Linked DNA regions of Drosophila melanogaster. The protein of the gene in region 3 interacts with the protein of the main gene of each other region in a pairwise test. Each region holds a gene or a part of one and is shown on either strand. Other genes may lie near its edges.

Region 1 (4,981 bases), on a different chromosome or scaffold from region 3:
TTTAAAAAGGTGGCATTGTTGGCTGGACTAAGATCTTCGGGGTGGCAATACTGGCCCACAGGGTTTTCCGGAATCTCCATTCGCGAAAAGAATTAAAAATGTTTAATTAAACGCAGTCGGAGCGTGCAAACAATGAATAAAACTCAGTGAAACTGGCGGCGGGGAAACGATGTGCCATTGAAAACGCAGAAAAGGCGGCAGCAGACAGTGACACAGCGCGTAAATAAGGAAGGCAATCGAAAGAAATCGATTTTTCAGGGCAGGTGGGCTACCATTAGACTCCCCACACTCATGCACACATATTGATGCAAATCCCATTTGCAGGATGCTGAAACTTTGAAGGAATCCAGAAACTGTAGAGAAGAAACCCCACAGAATGCCGGAAAACCTCGAGCTTCAGCAGTTCCAGGAGGGCGCCCCGCCCCCAGATCCCGCCCCCCGTTGGCTGGAGCGCTTGCAGCGACGATTGGGCGCCGATTGTCCCTACTTGGGTATCCTGCTGGCCACGCTCTCCTCGCTCTTCTTCTCCCTGTGCTCGGTGATTGTGAAGGGACTGGTGGACGTGAACCCCATGGAGCTGGCCTCGTTTCGATTCGTCGGAGTCCTGTTGCCGGCACTGCCCATCCTGATATACACGCGACAGCCGGTGTTTCCGGAGGGCAAGAGGGTGATACTGCTGCTGCGCTGCTTCATGGGCACAACGGGTCTGATGCTCAGCTTCTATGCCTTCCGACACATGCCCCTGGCCGATGCGAGTGTCATCATCTTCTCCACGCCCGTTTTCGTGGCCATATTTGCGCGTGCCTTCCTCAAGGAGCCGTGTACGCTGTTCAATGTCCTGACCATCAATATGACATTGCTCGGCGTGGTCCTCATCACGCGCCCACCCTTTGTGTTCGGTGACACGGCGGAGAGTGAGGATGTCGCTGGGAAGACGTACGACATCTGGGGACCAGTGGCCGCCATATCATCCACACTCTTCGGAGCCAATGTGTACATCCTGCTGCGGGCGCTCAAAAACCTGCACTTCTCCGTCATCATGACGAATTTCGGTACCATCGCTCTGGTCTACACACTGATCGTTTGCGCATCTATTGGAGCTGTGTGCTGGCCAAGCTGCGGACGGGATCGTTGGCTGGTCGTTGTACTGGGCGTATTCAGCTTCCTGGGCCAGATCCTGCTCACGCTATCGCTGCAGATCGAACAGGCCGGACCAGTGGCCATTGCTCGCTGCGCCGACATCGTCTTCGCCTTCGTCTGGCAGATGCTCTTCTTCGGAGAGACGCCCACCGCTTACTCGCTGGTGGGTGCGGTGATGGTGATGGGATCTGTGGTTCTGACGGCCCTGAAGAAATGGGCAGGCACCCTGCCACGCGAGTCGTCGCTGCGGAAGCGATTCAGGCTCATCCTGCTGGAATAGTGTGGTTCCAGAGCAACTAAAAGAGTTCGCGGTTTCTCCCTCGTCTTGTCACATCGTTCTCACCCAATCCCGGCAAGCATCAGTGGCCGGCAGCAAACCCGGTTCATTCATCGTAGACTCTACTTATATCAAGGCTCAGATCGTAGATTAATCAAAATATATAAGAAGGGACGCGTGATATCCACTCCACTCATAAGTAAATACTCGTAGTGCGTGTTTAGTTTAGCCAATTTCGCCGATTTGTTGTTTTGTACATTGTTATACATGCTTAAAATACGGTAATAAATACAACTTATGAATAAAATAAAAACAAGTTATAATTTGCATTTGAATTTCACGCTCTTCTACATGCAAATTTGCACTACATTTTTATATAATTCATTTAAATAGTTATAAATAAACAATAAAATTTCAAATCTACAGCGACACAACATTTTACATTACTTTGTAAAAATTCCGTTACATGTAGAATACAGACGGCGCGACATCGATACATACATCGACATCATACATCGATTGCAGAATTAATTTTACATCCACCTCTAGTTTTTCGTTTGTTTGTTTGTTTATTATTGTTTATGTTTATATTCTCGAAGCACACACACTCGAAAAAACAGAGCAAGGAACGGAAACAGAAACGGAAGACAAGCTGAGGGACTAGAAGCCCAAATCGGCAATAACCGCGTCCAGTTCGTCCTGCAGATTGGTGGCCCGCGATCGCACCTGCACAATTTGATCCTGCAAATTGTCGACGTTCGCCTGGAGCAGCACATTGCACTTCTTCATCGCCGCGAACCGGCTCTCGTGCTTCTTCACGCGCGGCTCCACATTCGCCTTCTTCGCGGAGTTGGGCGAGTCCTGCGGAATACGGTACAGGTGAGCTGGCTAAATAGTTTACGATTCTCTGGGGCTAACTCACCTCTGGCTCGGACTCGCTGCCCGTCTCCGCCTCACTTTCCTCCGATTCGGACTCCTCGGACTCGTCGTCGGATTCCTCCTCTTCTTCGCTGGCGTGCTCCTCCTCGGCCTCCTCTTCGTCCTCGTCCTTCTCCTCGCCGTCCACATCGTCTTCGTCTAGCTTCATGGAGGCAGCCATCTTCTGCACCTCCTTCTCCAGCTTCTTAAACTTCTTGTTCTCCTCCCTGTCATCCAGAGTTGTTTCCAGTTTAAGAACAATACTACATTACAATTTGTACTCACTTGAGGATACTCTGGTTCTTCTTCATGGCTTGCTTGAGGGCGTCCTTCTCCTTCTTGGCCGCCTCCTCTTTGACCTTCAGTTTGGTAAGCTTGCTACGCAGGATCTTGAGCTCCTTGCCAGAGCGACGCTCCCTGCGCTCCACCTTCTTCTCCTCCGGCTCGTCAGGATCGCTTTCGCTGACCTCAGGCTCCAGTTCCGGCGAGCTATCCCTTCCAAAGTTTGCATCGCTTGGTCGACGCGATCCGTCCAAGGATCCACCGCCCTGCAGCCGCAGTTAATGCAAAACGGAAAACGGGAAAGAAGGGATACACACATTGGATTAGTGAGGGCATCCTTGAGCGGGGCCTGATTTTACCTGATGCCGTGCTGCATGGTAGTGGTCGTAGTGGAAGCAATCGTCGTAGTCGTCGTCGTCGTAAGCAAAGCAATTACTAATGTGCGGTCTGTTAGTGCTTGGTGTCGCCTTTGCAAGAGAGCGTGAACGGGTTAATCGGTTAGTTGCCGCGGAGTGCAATAGCAAAGCTTTCAGGGGGATAGGAATCGGGACCGGACGTGTCCTAGACGGGTCATAACACCGCTTTGGTCTGGGCGGAAGCAGAATGCGGGTGGCGGGAGTCTTTCATGCAGCATGCGTCCGGCAGTTGGAGTTTAAGGTCGTCTACACACGAGATCTTCGGACATTGTTTATACCTCTCGTTTCGTTTTGATAAAGATTACATTTTTTAATGTCTACCATGGCATGGCCAGGTCCATTATTTGCTTAAAGAAAAATTCTGGAACCTTTTGAGCATTTCCCCAGAAACTTGATTTTGTTTTGTCTGGAATTGTGTGCAAGCAAACAGATAGCACAGGTAAGGGATGAAGGCACCTTACTTGAAAAGTATGGCTTCCGAAATTTAATACAAATTGAGCTTTGATAAAATATGGTCAGTTTTGAATTTCATTTTTCGCTTTCTCTTGATAATAATTTTACTATTCAACTTGTCTGATTCCTTCTCAACAGCAAGCTGTCTGCTGGCTTCAATCAGATTTCTGGTATTTTAAGTCTCGTGTGCAAACCGTTTTTAAGAAGGAAGAAAACAAGGTGTATCCACGGGTAATCCTTTCCCAGACCCATTCCACATTTGTGTCAAGTGTTGTCAGCTGATCTGTTTCTCTGGCTACAGTGGCTACTAGGGACAACTAACGAGGGATCTAAGGCGGAGTCTACGAATTGCGGTGGCTTCGTTAGCTGCTCCCGTCTACTTGCCGCCCTCAGCGGACGCAGCGAGGCGACGCCGGCGACACTAAAAACAAGAAAGAAGGACTAGCTTCGGAGTCCGATGCTTTGCATACCCTTGGAGATAGTTATGTTGTAAATGGTTGTAATCCAAAATCCTAATCTCAACTGACAACACTTTGAGCAGCATCCCATTACCTACATATACATATTACCGAACCCGTTCTGCAAAAGGAATTACCTGAAGAGCTGCTGCCAACTTGCGTTCGAGCAACTGAATCTGGCGGCGCTGCTCCTCGATCTCCGTCTTGGCCTCCACCAGCTGCTCGGCGGTGCTCTGATAGTTTTGCTCCACCTCCTTGGACACCTTCCGTGCGTCCTCTACCTCGCGCTTCAGGGAGTTGACGTAGGTCTGTTCGGCGGTGGGCGTAGGATCCATGGTGGCCACAATCACATTGGATCCGTACTCGAGATTCTTTTCGCGTGACTTCTCGCGTTCCAGTTCGGTCTCTAGGGTGCGGATTTTGGCCAGCAGCTTCTTGTTCTCGCGATCCTGCGCCTCACGGTTTCGCAACTCCAGTGCCAGCATTTGTTTGGTGCTCTGCAGATCGTCGCGGATCTTGTCGATGTCGTCCAGCTCGTCGGGGCTTTCCTCGTCGATGGACATAGCCGATACGATGCTGGGCCGGGATCCTCCGGCTCCCAAGGCCGTGGCACTGCCCGGTCCGAGTGCATGGCTGCTAGGCGCCTCGCTGAGCATGTTGATCTTCGACTGCGACTTCTGCAACTGCTCCTCGATGGTCATCTGTCGGCGGAACTTGCGCAGACCGTCCAGCACCGGCTTGCTGCGATCGTTGGTCTTCGTTGGCTTCAACTTGATGCCGCCCTGGATCTGCTTGAGCAGCTTGTTGTGCGAGTTGCCCTTCTCCGTCTCGTAGATGAACTTGTCGTCCAATTTGGTTATCGACTTGCACGTCAGGATGGGCTGAGATCTATTAGGATTTGAATTGTTATAAAAGAGATTTTTGAACATTTTCGTGCAGAGTTATCTATTATTTGGCTGCTGGTACTTCTGCACACTTAAAATTTAAGTAAAAGTCATTAACATTTGCCGGATAAAGTGGCGTAAACGCAGTAAGAT
Region 2 (3,257 bases), 3.4 Mb from region 3:
CTAAAGCGAATGATTAGTCCGTGGGATGAGAATGACTGTATCGAGCTCTTCGATCCGGACTACTCCGGGGGACGCAAGACACCGGAGCTGGACTACACCCAAAGTCATCCGGGTACGGATGAGGAGATAATACTCAAACTTATAGCGTCCATGAGTTCGGGAAAGAACGAGGACGACGAAGGAATTGAGGCGGAAACCAAAGCTACAGATGTCGAGGATTCCGAGGTCGAAGAAGAAGAACCTGAATCCGAGCCAATGGAAACCGCCTCCAAGGAAGCTGAGTCCGAAAAATCGTATGCAGAATATCAGCCAGACTCAGCACAGACAAGCGACGAAAGAGTGCAAGAGCTGCAGGCCGAGAATGCGCGCCTCAAAGCGCAGTCAATGCGCTTGTTCCAGATAGCTTTCAAGTATATTACTAGCGATACCAATGGCCAGGCTGAAATCACAGAGAAGACAAAGCGCAAGAAAGCGCGGAAGACATAGTGAACCTTAAGCTTGCTTTCAATTACGTTTACTTAGGACTTAGGACAAAAATACATGATAATAGAAAAAAAACAGCACTGATTGTGCCTAAAAACGATTTGGATGAACAAAACAATAACTTCTCGTAGAGGGATCTACTTGGGTGCCGCTTCGCTGCCCGCCTGCCCGTCCATGTTGTCATCTCCCGATTCGGGAGCGTTGTCATTTTCCTCGGCAATCAGGCGACGGATCTCTCGGTTGGAGTTCAGCAGCTCCCGTAGTTGGGACATAATGTCGTCTGTGCGCTGCTCCACGGCGTCCAGGGCACAGCTGAGAGCGTCCAGACTGTTGTTCACGTCCTCCATCTCTGTAGGGGTCATTCCATTAGAGCCAATCCCGAGCAGAAACGGGGCGCTGTCAAAACTCACCTTGGAGGTCCGCCTCCTGGACATTGGTGTTGCCAGAGTCGCCGGACGACGAGGGATCATGATTGTTTTTGGGTGACATTTTCCCTGGAATTTTCCCCGGAGTTTTTCCGTTTGTTTTTTCCAGTTGGATTTATTGTCACGGGATAGCTATAAACGATAGAGGTGGTTAGAAGAGAACGATAGGTCTCAGTTCAAATACGATATAAAAAAAAAAACTTAATAGGGGAATTCAGTACATACGTACGTTTTTGTAATTACGAAAACACTTTTTAGCTCAAAACACTAGGCGAACATAATCCACTGCAAAAGTCCAAAGCTAAGTTTCCACTTAGTTTTTAGGGATGTGCCCGTGCCTCGTTTTATTTTTACGTACCAATGGAATAGCATGGGAAATTTTGGCTTATTCGCATATGTCGTGCCTAATTCGTGACACGAACAATGAAACAAATGGTTTACGTATCTCTAGGCGTTGACTGGACTTAATCGAACGGTTCTTTCCCATAGTGCTTAATGTTGATTGGCCAGAGTTGACCCCTTCTGACAATGAACGGCTGTTTAATTTCTCAGAGCGATCAGCGGTCGTACTCCAACGTTTTCTGTTCGCCTGGTGTCTACAGTCGATAATCTTGCCCATTTTGACCGAAATAATTTTGAAGCATCGAATTGCGACAGTAGATTTCTTGTTGCAATCATGAGGCGAGCATAATAAACAGAAAGTGTACTAGCCTCTGTTTCTACGTTGTTTTTAGAGATGTGCATGTATATCGTTTTATTTTCACAACGCAAGCAAATTACTAGGGATTTTGGTATTTGCTCGAGCATGACGTGCCGATTGCGTGTCACGAACAGGGAAACAAGAGGGGTTCACATCTCTTCTGATACTCTTGCTTAAGCTTTGGTCTAACTGTTCACAAGGCTGCATTCCTATTGGTTCAATTGCGACTGGAAACATGCAATATGCGACCATTTTGGAAAAAGAAACTGTTTCTTGATTTTGTCGACATGTATCAGCTGGCTGGCTACTGGCTACTGGTTTCTGAACTCCAGATATTCAGTCGAGAATCGCATGCGAATGCCCGTAATATTTGCTGGCATCAATATTTAATCTGTTGCCTAGCGTGACAGTCGGCCACACTGCACCTCACATAACATAACCGAAAAATGAACAAATGTTTTAGGTGCCAGCCCCGGATATCGCTTTTCCAGTTCAGCGTGAGTCCATGAGTGTGTTGCCTTATAGGATTCGGATTTTCAATTTCTTGTTTACACAGCTACCGCGGTGCTATGCCGCAGTGCAGCCGGGATGTCCACCGCCACAAGAAAAACCCGTCGTCGGTTTGCCACACAAGCCCGATCCCAAGACGGTGAAGTGCGACTATATAGGACCGCCAGACGCGCAATCAAACCTACGTCCGTACGTACGGCACTACGGCGATGAGGAGACGCGGCTGGCAAGAAGCCTGCGTCTTAAGCGGATCGAGGTGGAGGCATGGAACACGGACTTCTGGACAAAACACAATAAGCGCTTCTACGAGGTACAACCACGACCACTGTGCCATCTCTTTCTAGTCCGCTAATGTCGTCTCTTTCGAATTGGTTCGTTTACAGGAAAAGGAAGACTTCATCCGCCTGCACAAGGAAAGCGGAACCAGCGAAGTGTCCGCGGACCAGATGAGCCACTTCTACAAAGCGTTCCTCGACAAGAACTGGCGCATCCACATCATGTACAACATCTCCTGGTACCTGAAGAACTTCGACATACTCACCCTGGCTGCCGCAGTCCAGCTCCAGAGGCTTCTGGCGCTGGCCAAGCGAAGATCTTAGGTGCAATATCTGTCGTCCCCATTTCGTAATTTCCAGTTTGCCGTTTGCAATAAGTTGGAATAAAAGATCACGTGCGTAAAATGGTGGCATAAAATTTACTTAGCTACTATTTAAGGGGATGAAAAATACACGTTGTTCGGAGTTAGTTAATGTACTTAAAAGTAATCGCAAACTATTTAAATAAAATAAAATAGAAGTAGGTGTTCATATCCTTATCAGTGTATATATTCAAAGAAGGTTGCGCACGATACACGCAGCGAAAGAAGGATCGCTCCCCATGTAAAGTGGCCGAATATTGAAAGATAACCGCTACAATTATGATAATAATAATAATGGTAAACAGAGGGGAAGGCACACACGCATAAAGTCAAGTTTTGGGTTGGCCATCGGGGCGGTCAGTTTCCTCGCGATAATTGCAATGGTGGTAGTGATGAATGTGGAGATGGTGCTAAAACAAATAAAATTAGGTGCTCCAGCGACTGTGTGAGGAGAGGGGGTCCGAAATACATTACAGGGGTGGTCGTGTCCTAGCAGTAACAT
Region 3 (4,069 bases):
ACCGCATTCCAGCGCATGACATTCAATAGGGTATTGTATGCCCATGTCGGCGAACTGGATACCGCTCAGGGTATATTCTCTATGCGGCTATCGTATGATGAAACTTTTGTGCCCACCATCAACGATCTAATCGAGTCGCGGATCAAGTTGGAGTCCTGTTGCTATGCGCCCGAACTGCAGCCTTTTGGGATGGTCGAGCCGCTAATTATGCCGCTGCACGATTATGATGATGATGATGATGATGATGATGATTTCGCATTCGTTCCATAGGGATTACCATGTGCCCAAGGCGCTGAATCCATTTCAAAATAAAAATGAATGACGCACTTCTAGTGGGCAACCAGGAGCAGAAGCAGAAGCAGGAGCAGGAATGATGAAAACAGGACAAAACCAGACGACGGAACATACATAAATCATCAAGCTGGCATGTTTGCCAATCATTTATCTCAGGGATGAACTGCATCATTTGAAAAGTGTAACTTGAACATGAAATTGCTGTTTGTTTTTTTTTTTCTTTTTTTTTTTTTATTATTATTTGTGAAATGTAATACCATACCCATAATTTTATTACCAAATAAAGATGCGAAAAGGTTGCCAGCCAAGTGCACGTGCACAACTTCTGGACAGGATGGGCCGGGAATTCTAAGCCAAAACTAGCGTAGCATGCCAAATAAGTGAACTTTGCAGGCGCTGCAGACTTGCCTGGTTGGTTGGTTGGATGGTTTGGATTTCCATACCGAATTGCAGTAAAAAAAATAGATGTGTGCTGCAGTGCGTCTGCCGCTCGTCGGCTGGCTAGAAGGGCTCCTCCTGCGCCTGTGTGGCAGCATCACTCGGCTGCTCGGCGAACATGCGCTGTCGACGGCACACAGTTGGCGTTGGCATATCGTCCGCATTGCTAATGGAATCGCAATCGTAGTGACTGGGCACCTCGGGTGGCGGAGCATCGGCATAGTCGGTTGGGATGTCGGAAGCGGCGCCGAACCACGACAGCATCATTGAGACCTCATGCCACCTACTCGAATTGGACTGCGAATCCAGCTGCAGTTCATCGTTTAGCGGCGGCGGCACCGTTCCACTTGGCTGATGCGATCCAATGGTGGACGATTGGGCGCCACCAACAACCCGAACCCAATTGCTGCCGCTGGCCAGCGGAGATAGGTGCGTCTTTCGATACGAATCAATGGAGCTTTTGACTCGACGCATATCCAGCGGTGATGTGGCTGCCAATGTGGATCTTTCCTTGTTCAGCGTCACCAGGCAGGACTGCCGCTCCGGCTCCTCATCCGCGTCGCCATCACGCCGATGGCGTGTGTATTCCAGCTCCTCCTCACCATCCAGATCCTCGTCCATCGATTGCGCCAGACAGTCGTTCGAATGGAAGCTTTGCTCCGAGTACGACTGCCCCTCGCATTCCATCTGCAAATGATCGCCCTGCTCCGTCGATCGCTCACTGGTCACCGCCAGCAGTTCCTGCTGTTGTTGGCAATTGTCCGTGTATTCATGCCTGGGCCTGCTGGCCAAAACAAAAAAACAAACAAAGGTGAACATAACCCCACAATTCTCTAGAAGATTTACATACCTTGTGACCGGCTGCTGCGCTATGGACACCTGGTAGGAATTGGATGACGGTGCCGCCGGTGATGCTACTGTCGCCGCCAACGCTTGCTGCTGTTCATGTCTGCGCTGGCGTTGGATGAGCATGCGTTGGATATTCTGTCGCGACTGATCGTTGCCATAGGAGATGCGCTTGGCGGCCAAGTCGCGACGCTCCACGGCCGCCCGGCGTGCATCGTTCGCCGCCTGCAGCTTGGCCGTCATCCGGAGTTCGCTGCGCAGGAAACCGCCGGTGCCGGCCTCGGCCATTAGGCCATTCCGACGCGAGATCTCCTGGCCCAGTTGGCGTGCGCGTGCCAGCGTCTCTATGCGCTGTTTGTGCATCCGCTGCTGGGGCGTGCTGCTAGCCAGCGTGATAGCACCGTGTGCCTGTTGCCGTCTCCGGCGGGTAACGCGTCCGCCGGCTAAACCAAACGATTGGTCAACATTCGATGGCGATGATGCCGTCGATGTGCCGCCACCGCTGGCGCCACCGGCCGCCCCGCCAGCCACCTTAATTACCTCGATCTCGCGAAATAGCCGCTTTAATCGCACCTGTCGCATCTTCATTTCGATGGTGCGATCGTTGAACTCCTGGATGCGCTCGTACTCATCACGCAGACGCTGCAGTTGGCCATTCTTCTTGCTCTCGTTGAACATGCGACGAAAGTAGGGCGTCGATTTGATCTGATACGACATGATGGTGTGGTTTCTACTCTACCACGGATTATGGATTGGATTTACACGAAATTTGATTTTTATTTACTAACGAAATCCGTACAATTTGGATGCGACCGAAATGTGCGTTTTGGATTTGATTGAATTTGTGCTGCGGAATGTTTGGGATTTTTTGTTTTTCGTGTGTGTGATCTCAAGTTTGGTTAGCAAATGCCAAATGTTGCTGGAACCCGAAATGACATGACCACGCAGCGCCTACTTGGTTAACAATCCAAATGCTGTGGGCAAAAAAAAAACAAAGCTGATTCCATGTTAACATTTAAATGTCCAGAGTGGTTACAATAATTTATTGATCGAATTGCTTCTTAGTGCCTGAATCTTAAAGCTAAATGGGCGGGATTATGTGTCGCAGACACGCCTCCGCGCCACAAATCATAGCATATAAGTAGTAGTAGTAGCATAGCATATATCATCTGGTCACTGCTGTTGGCTGCACTGCATCTCCTGCTACCCACATCTCGCGCTTACAAGCTAAACATCACATGAGCATACACATAACATCGAATACATAAACGAACACAAATGAGGCGAACATGTTTAAAAGATGAGTTAAATAAGTAAAAAAAAAAAGATGCGCTGCTGATTGCTAATTGCTGGGCAGGATTGCTGCTTACGCCTTCACCAGCTTGGCCATCATGTTGGTCAGCTTGTGCTCGTCGGCGCCGGCAAAGGAGGCCAAGCGTCGATTTTGGCGCAAAAAGACAAACGTTGGCATGCTGCGCACCTTGTAGCGCTCCGTCAGCTCCTCGAATTTGTCCACATCGATCTTGAGCACCACCGCCTTGCTGGAGTATTTTCTGGCCAGCGATTTGACGGTGCTCTCCATTTCCTTGCAGGGACCACACCATGTCGCATAGAAATCCAGCACGATTAGCTTGTCGTCGGCCGCCTCGATGCGCTTGTGATAGTCGTTCATGGTGCGTACGGATGCCATTTTTATGTCGCGAGGATTAGCAAAGTGTTTTTCTTCTTTTTTTTAAATTAAAGAACTTGACGTGATGGGGCTGTTGGCGCTTTCGCTGCAAATTGTGAACTGATTGAAATGGCGGCTGCGTAGGCGACTTTATAGGGGTCTCCAAGTGGCGGTGTGTAGAGTGGAATTCCCGCCAATTTGCATGCTGAATTCTCGCGTGGCCGCTAAACAAAATGGCGGCCCATGGAGAGTGCAAAATGGCGGGCGTGTTAGGGTTGCCAGGTCGTTGGGAAAGCCAACCGAGTGTGTTGGGGGGTGGGGAACATACTTATTCACCACGGCAGGTCTATCGATATCGATATGAATATTATTATCGTAATTATGGCAAAATAATGGCGTCACACGACATAGTACTAATATTTTCCTCGAGTGTTGCCATAGCCGTGGTAGGTTCGAAGCCAAACTCACCTCAACACACCGCGCCGCTGACATTTGAAAACACTTTTTTTTCAATCCAAGAAGGCCGCAAAATATTTGGCGAAAACTGTATAAAAGAACGCCTGCCGCCCTACAATTTTCATTTCGGGCTGATATCTCGGCGAGGGCAGAGCTCCATTAAAATTCAAAAGTAACAAAACAAATCAAGTGAATTTTACACCCAAAACAAGATTTTCTAACATTTTCCTTTTTTTTTTCTTTCTTCTCTTCCCATTTTTTTTTTTTTTTGTTTCGTTTCGATTTGCAATCCGTTTGGAATTTAGTTAAAGTCATGGTGTACCCAGTGCGGAACAAGGACGATCTTGACCAGCAGCTAATCCTCGC

The links. Proteins that work in one complex are often made in the same cells at the same time.
Region 1: the proteins of CG4198 (region 3) and CG17230 interact in a two-hybrid assay, tested with the Drosophila melanogaster proteins (one large-scale study listed by BioGRID).
Region 2: the proteins of CG4198 (region 3) and CG14818 interact in a two-hybrid assay, tested with the Drosophila melanogaster proteins (one large-scale study listed by BioGRID).

What each region holds. Positions count from the first base shown.
Region 1 is NT_033777.3:11,435,804-11,440,784, forward strand, and holds the start of CG17230 (uncharacterized protein), read left to right. Parts: upstream 1-1,981; 5' UTR 1,982-2,077; coding exon of another isoform or gene 2,078-2,278; 5' UTR 2,279-2,296; intron 2,297-2,339; coding exon of another isoform or gene 2,340-2,562; intron 2,563-2,620; coding exon of another isoform or gene 2,621-2,883; intron 2,884-2,976; coding exon of another isoform or gene 2,977-3,084; intron 3,085-4,081; coding exon of another isoform or gene 4,082-4,832; intron 4,833-4,981. Other genes in the region: CG5281 (uncharacterized protein), read left to right, coding at 377-1,420; sals (sarcomere length short), read right to left, coding at 2,078-2,278, 2,340-2,562, 2,621-2,883, 2,977-3,084, 4,082-4,832.
Region 2 is NC_004354.4:1,878,519-1,881,775, forward strand, and holds CG14818 (uncharacterized protein), read right to left. Parts: upstream 1,257-3,257; 5' UTR 1,138-1,256; intron 1,063-1,137; exon of another isoform or gene 1,041-1,062; 5' UTR 973-1,040; coding exon 894-972; intron 833-893; coding exon 621-832; 3' UTR 501-620; downstream 1-500. Other genes in the region: CG14805 (uncharacterized protein), read left to right, coding at 1-486; Coa8 (cytochrome c oxidase assembly factor 8), read left to right, coding at 2,055-2,105, 2,165-2,428, 2,502-2,717.
Region 3 is NC_004354.4:5,311,659-5,315,727, reverse strand, and holds CG4198 (uncharacterized protein), read right to left. Parts: upstream 2,471-4,069; 5' UTR 2,296-2,470; coding exon 1,583-2,295; intron 1,517-1,582; coding exon 796-1,516; 3' UTR 538-795; downstream 1-537. Other genes in the region: CG15930 (uncharacterized protein), read left to right, coding at 1-270; dhd (deadhead), read right to left, coding at 2,945-3,268; TrxT (thioredoxin T), read left to right, coding at 4,017-4,069.